Bombyx mori: one gene and its partner. Each later gene encodes a partner of the first gene's protein in a complex. Links are inferred from orthologs where the notes say so. Each region holds a gene or a part of one and is shown on either strand. Other genes may lie near its edges.

The links.
Region 2: Rrp40 (region 1) and exosome complex component RRP41 share a complex: the UniProt entries of both Homo sapiens proteins name them as parts of the RNA exosome core complex. The link is inferred for Bombyx mori from reciprocal best matches to the Homo sapiens genes EXOSC3 and EXOSC4.

What each region holds. Positions count from the first base shown.
Region 1 is NC_085114.1:14,716,052-14,718,890, reverse strand, and holds Rrp40 (exosome complex exonuclease Rrp40), read right to left. Parts: upstream 1,419-2,839; 5' UTR 1,340-1,418; coding exon 629-1,339; 3' UTR 606-628; downstream 1-605. Other genes in the region: probable RNA 3'-terminal phosphate cyclase-like protein, read left to right, coding at 1,919-2,210, 2,673-2,839. UniProt on the Homo sapiens protein: Non-catalytic component of the RNA exosome complex which has 3'->5' exoribonuclease activity and participates in a multitude of cellular RNA processing and degradation events.
Region 2 is NC_085134.1:3,235,292-3,239,875, reverse strand, and holds the start of exosome complex component RRP41, read left to right. Parts: upstream 1-1,473; 5' UTR 1,474-1,893; coding exon 1,894-2,064; intron 2,065-2,419; coding exon 2,420-2,492; intron 2,493-3,918; coding exon 3,919-4,055; intron 4,056-4,584. UniProt on the Homo sapiens protein: Non-catalytic component of the RNA exosome complex which has 3'->5' exoribonuclease activity and participates in a multitude of cellular RNA processing and degradation events.

The DNA of each region.
Region 1 (2,839 bases):
TAAATATTGTTTGATTCTGTGACTACATTTTTAAAGAGTTCTGAAGTGTAAAATCTTTTAAAATAAACAGCAAAAAAAATAAAAACCTGTACGAAGACTTTGGTATTATGTATATATTGTGGCTTTGTTCAAATTTAATATGAAATGTATTTATGTCATAAGTATTGGAATGCTACATGTCCTGAATACATGTCCATAGCAGTTTTCATTATGTATTGAGATTTCAAAATTAGATTAGCATTTGCCAAAATAAAATTTCCATCACTGTTTTAGTTTTGTTTCCTTTACGGGATCTGCTTGTAGTCTACATATATGCAAAATGTCAATTGAACATTAGTCAGGTTCTCTCATTGAATTTTTTTCTCAATTCGACTGGGTATCCGTAAATGGATTCCCTAGGGGGTTCTCTCATTTATGTTCAATCTGAGAGCTGACTTCCTTTCACCACTAGAAATTGAACATGTGAAAATTCTGTATGATATTATAACTTTATAAATGTTTTCCTTTCAAATGGTTTTTCTGGGACCCAGAACATGAAACCTTTAAATTTTCTTAATTGAAGATTTTCTAAATGATTTAAGTTTCTTAAAAAGAAAACAAATTTCTTTAATAAGGTTTTTCATTTATTTTAGCTTACATGACCTGCGAGTAAAACTGCTATGTTCTTACACATACTTTTAATTTCATCGTTACTCAAATATTCTGAGCCCAAAATCGCGTTTCCTAGAGCCAATGTCTCTCTCATAGTGTTTGCTTTGATCCAAATCCTTCCATTCATGCCAGCTGCTAATTCAAATGGCCATTCGTTCTTTAATGAGTTCAATAATGGACAATGTGGGTTTAATATTTTTCTGATTAAATTCAAAGAGCATTTGAATACGAATCCTTCTTCTAATACTCCTAGTCGGCCTTTTTTTCCATGCGAATCAACGCACACAAGCTCTGGTTCCATATCTTTGCTTGCGTTTAACATTTTCGCGTACACAACATCGCCTGTTTTGATTGCGGGACGGTTTTTCTTCGTCGCTCCTTCGAACGACAGATATGACAGCGATGCGGCACAACTCCCCCCGACGTCCACACGGAAAATATCGCCCGCTTTCTGTACCACGGTACCGATCACATTTTCACCTCTAGAAGGCACATAGCGCTTCTGATAATTGTCCACCCAGTATGTATTTGGTGTTCGTTTCCGTAATACGCCTGGTTTTGTTATAAAAACACCGTTAATTTCTTTGCGAAGTCCAGGACCTAGTAGAACTTTTCCTTTTTCGCCAGCCGCCACGATCTCTGGACAGTGATCTCCAGGTAAAACTACATCATCTATTGAAACGTTCATGATATTTTTGTTCTATTTTAGTGAGAATTATAAATGAACACACAAATAAATACAAAGCCCTAACCTCTAAAACAGCAATGTTTATTTGATTTGATTGGTCCATCCAATAGGCAAAGAAAACATAGCGCATAGGTACCTACCAGTTAAATCTTATGCATTTAATTGTTGTATGAAAAATGAAATTTAGGCGAAGGAAATAAAATTAAGTAATGATAACATTAAATGTGTTGAGCCGAAACCAGTACCCATGTATGTAATTCTGATATCCATTGAAATAATGCTGACTTTAGGTTCCATCACAGAATACCATAATATGTCTAGGAAAGCTGCGTAATCATAGTCAAATAAACTAACTTCACTTCATTTCATTCATCCACATCATTTTCTATAGAAATATACCACAATATTTAAAAGATAGTATATGGTCTGATACTTTTGCCTTTCTAGATGAAAAAATACAACTATTGCTATTACTTTGACACTTTTGACAGTTGACTAACTCGCAGTGCCTAGAGGTTTGCACATGTTCGCTGTTTACATATCACCGAAAAACTAATTCGGAGTATTAGTTATATTAAAATGCCCGCAGTAATTGAAAATGACGTAATAAAATACAAGGGCAGCAATTACTTTCGTCAAAGATTGCTACTTTCGACTCTCAGTGGGCGTGCTATTAAAATAGAAGACATTCGCAGTACCAACGATGACCCGGGTCTTCGGGAATATGAAGTCAGTTTAATTCGGCTACTGGATAAAGTGACGAACGGTACTAGAGTCGAGCTGAGCGAAACCGGTACTTCAGTATATTACCAGCCTGGTATACTGATTGGTGGACAAGTTAATCACAACTGTTGTACCCAGAGAGGGATAGGTAAGTGGTCTTCAATAAAGTTTCTACTCACGTCAAATACGTTATTAGGAATGTAGTTTTCTAAATTAGAAGATTATATATTAGTTTGATTACAGCTGGAAATTCAGACAATTCAGCATACACATTCTCCTGATAGCTAAAAGCATGGAGAGTCTAGTTCAGTGGAGCAAGGCATGGACATAATAAATATTGTTAATATATACTATAGGATGGGATAATAAATCTTTTGTCAGGCATGCAACCGTCTAGGAGAGTCCAGTTTAAATACTAAAATAAGTTTTGACAGAGTGAGGACGCCTTGGTTGTTTTTGAAAGTAGTTTTAGTGACATCAGCTTGACTGATGTAACTATCTAAACTAAATCAAACCATACCATGGTCTGAACATTAACTCAGCATTTAAATACTTCCTGTTATGTTCATCCTCGGACTGACAAATTGAAATTAAAAAATAACCTTTTTAGGTTATTATCTTGAAGTTCTACTAGCCCTGGGACCATTCTGTAAGGAACCTTTAAATGCAGTCCTACAAGGAGTAACCCACAGTGACCTAGATGTATCAGTGGACAAAATAAAGACGGCAGCGCTACCTGTGCTCCTTAAATTTATTCTTGTCGATGATGGCTTGGAT
Region 2 (4,584 bases), on another chromosome or scaffold:
AAGAGTGTTATGATGGCGGTTTTACAGATATCCTCAGGCGCAACAGGAATTTGCTGATATGCCTTAACGAGGTCGATGGTACTAAATATACAACACCCAGATATGTTATGGCCAACGTCACCGATATGGCGAACTGGGTACCTGTCAGGTATGGTACGTGAATTCAACGCACGATAATCGCCGCAGGGTCGCCAGGTGCCGTCGCGCTTAGGGACCATATGAAGTGGAGAAGACCACGAACTTTTCGAAGGTCTGGCTGTCCCGCACTGTACCATATCATCAAAAACCTTTTTGGCCTCTTGAAGTTTTTGAGGTGCCAGACGTCTAGGACGACAAGAGACTGGGGCGCCCTCAGTGGTTAGAATATAATGAACTGTGTTATGCTTCGGCTCACGAATAAGTCCTGGTGGCTTCGTAATGGACGGAAATTCCGCAAGAAGTGCACTAAATTGGGATGACGGCGCGCAGACAACTTTGACGCTGGTCTGGTCTAAAACAGCGACGGCAGCAACGTATGACAACCCGGTAATGCTATCGACGAGTCTCTTACTGGCACAATCTGGCAACAACCGATAATGCGCCAGAAAATCGGAGCCGATGATGGCGGTGTTGACGTCAGCGATAATAAATCGCCATTGAAATGTGCGGCGTAACCCCAAATTAAGCGCCATTTCTATGTGACCAAAAGTGCGTATCTCACTACCATTGGCAGCCGCTAACGTATAGTTTGAACGTACCGGCTTATTTGCTAACCACTGGTATGGGTAACAGGAGAGGTCGGAGCCTGTGTCTATTAAAAAACGGCGCTTGGTTGCGCTTTCGGTGACAAATAATCGGCGACTCTCCTTTAAGCAGTCAGACGTCGCCATCATTGACTGCTTTTGTCGTTTTCCGAAGATGGCGGCGGCGTCCAGGTACATGGTTGAATACACTTAACAGCTTTAGTATTAAATTTCCTATGGTAAAAGCACATTTGAAGCTTACCAGGCGTTTGTGAGCGTCGTCGCTGGTTTGAGAAATCCCGGGTCCTATTTCTACCGCGCTCTGCAGTAAGCACAGCAAGCTGACGCGTGACCTCATCCAGACGCCGTGTGATATCTTCTAACGAAGGGGTTGAGACGGCAGACGTACTTGCTGAGAAAACAGCAGATGAATGAGGTGCGACCATACCAGGCGAAACTTCCAAAATTTTGTCCGCTAGCTCAGCGACTTTGTCCAGCGAGAGTTCTGATTGGGCGGCCAAAATTGCTTGGAGATGTTGTGGGAGGCGACGCATCCATAGCTGGCGAAGCAAATTTTCATCAGTGAGGGTTTTTCCTGCCAATGATCTAAGATAACGTAAAAACTGCGAAGGACGGCGGTCACCCAACTCAACATCACTGACAAGTTGCCTGACACGTTGCTCATTAAATTGGAAAAATCTTAGTAAATAACCACCATTTTACTGAGATTATATTTCATCCCATATCATCTCATTTCATTTAATTTCATCTCAGTTGATTAATGTCTCAAATTAATCATCTTCGTTTCATTTCATTTCATCTCACTCCATATTATCATTTTGCATAAAAATAATAATATAAATTAAAATAAGAAATGACTTAAAGGTCTTAGTTACCAGGTCACACTACCCTGAAAAAAAACACGATAACATAACCTACAAAATAAAGTTTAAAAAATAATTGAACGAAAATAATATATTTATTAGTCTTTATTCTTTAATAACCATAACGTCCATAACCAATCTCATGAATTATTAGAATCACCGCGAATTTTAAAAACGGAATCGACTATGATAATATAACATAGTAAAAAGCAAATATTTTTAACAAAACAATTCAACATATTGAACAATTCATTATTTTTTAATGTGTTTTTGTTAGAAGTTAAATAATGCCCGCTGCCGATCTACTCTCGAGTCAAGGACTACGTCTTGACGGGCGGAGACCCAATGAATTACGTCGGATAAGATGTAAACTTGGTGTATTCACCCAGCCTGATGGAAGTGCGTATCTCGAACAAGGAAACACGAAAGTGCTTGCAGCCGTGTATGGACCCCATCAGGTATATGATACAAACGATTTACAAATACTGATTAGTTTACCGTGGCAAAACGTCTGTAAATCTGCCTGAGTAAATAATCATCACTATCCCGCTACTTCTGCTACAAAATTGCACTATTTCTGCTACAAAAGTGTAATGCCTTCTGGCTTGAAGAATAAGACAGCTATTTTACAATATTGAAGTATCGACCCATGTGCCAAGGTCGCATTCACGTCTTGATGTGTTTCAGCTTTAGTAACCAAATTCTTACCAAGTAGCTGGTAAAAAATATGTATTTACACATTTTAGGTACTTCATTTTCGGACACGTTCTTCATAAATGAAAAACCTTCATTATAATTTAAAATGTTTTTCAGGCTTCAAAATCGAAGATGTCGACAGAAGCTGTAGTTGTCAACTGCCAATACAGTATGGCTACATTCTCAACAGGTACCCATTGAGAGTTCAACATATTTTCAAAAGCCTCTTCAAATAAATGAGATTATATATAGAGAAAAAAATCTGTATGAGCTTAATCGCACATTAAAAATACACAAGTTAATAACATCCGTGGATTTCCAATCAATCTTAGAATTAATTTCAGTGTGTACATTTATTTGTTCCTGCACATCATCAGACCTACTGAACCAGATACGTTTACTACGTACGTGTAGTTTTTTTTATGGTGGACAAAAATTTGTTTGTAACAGAATAAAGGTTTTGTTTTATTTTAATCAAAAGATGCAAAAAGTTTTCATCATTTAAAGTTTTATGGAATTTACTTAGTGCCATTATATGTTAGAAAATATACAGCAAATAATAACATGAAAATGAAAGAAACTCTACTATGGGAAATTAAATAGGATGCATTTTATCCTAGTGTTAAGCACAGTCAGCGGCAGGCAATAGCTCTGCCCCTGACATTGCTGAAGTCAATGGGCGACATTACTGTGTGGTTACCCACTCACCATCAAGTAGGCCGTATGCTCGTCTGCCTACAAGAGAATAAAAAAAATTCTCCACTCACATAATATAATATGTAATTTAGGTAAGCATATAGCTGGCAGATAGGCAGTTATATTATAAATGTTATACATTTGAAAACAATACAATTATGTATGTGATAAGCCTGCAGAAGTAGGTACTGTTATATGTTTACAATGAAGCAATCATGCTTTGCAGTTTCATAATACATTTGAGATTTTGACTGTCTCTCAAAATCGGTGGCATTATACACACTGCGATGTCTATGTATTCTACCCATTTAAAAGTTAAAACTAGGATATTCCCTCGTCAGTACAAAAAGAAACTAAGATAGACCCAAAGATATGAATATTCTTATCTACACAACTTATAAGGGTTATTATATATATATGCCTATTAGGCTACATAACTTATTATTTTTTTTTTTTTTATTGCTTAGATGTGTGGACGAGCTCACAGCCCACCTGATGTTAAGTGGTTACTGGAGCCCATAGACATCTACAACGTAAATGCGCCACACACCTTGAGATACAGTTTTAAGGTCTCAGTATAGTCACAACGGCTGCACCACCCTTCAAACCGAAACGCATTACTGCTTCACGGCAGAAATAGGCGGGGCGGTGGTACCTACCCGTGCGGACTCACAAGAGGTCCTACCACCAGTAATTACGCAAATTATAATTTTGCGGGTTTTTTTTATTACACGATGTTATTCCTTCACCGTGGAAGTCAATCGTGAACATTTGTTGATTACGTATTTCATTAGAAAAATTGGTACCCGCCTGCGGGATTCGAACACCGGTGCATCGCTTCAACACGAATGCACCGGACGTCTTATCCGTTAGGCCACGACGACTTCTAAACGACTTATTATCGAACATTTCGCATCTAGGTGAACGAAAGAACCGACCTCGCGGGGACCGCAAGTCACAAGAAATGTCAATGCATCTCCGACAAGCTCTAACTGCTGCTATTAAAACTGAAATGTATCCAAGGTCGCAAATAGATATATACATAGAAGTATTACAGGTAAAACATATAATTTTTTTTTTTTAAATCCTTATCGACGGATTATATGCTATTTGGGTTATACGACATTTCGTTTACTATGCGATATTTATCTTTCTAATTAAAGGTCGGTTTTATTTAGTATTAGTATCACCAATCCAATGTTTTTAATTGAACTTCAGTTAAGTTTACCGCATTCAAATAGCTGAAGAAGTTTTTGTTGTTGCGATATTTTTTTCAAATTTTAAACTTTAAATGGCTCTCCTGTAAAGTAACAAAAATGTCGCTTAAACGAAATGGCCTTTCACCCATCCTTATGATAGCTGAGTCAAGAGCAGGTGACCTCACAGCTTGCTTGAAGTTCAGCGGTCACAAGTGTTCAAACAACTAAGCGTTTATGGTTTTTTCCCCAAATTTTTTTTTCCATTTTTGTTCTGTATGACTTATTTCTGAGAAATGTAATGCTAATCAAACTATATAAACAAAAATGAACTGTGAATATTTTCTCTGCGTACCAGTGCTGGTTTTTCAGTTCCTAACATGAGACAAA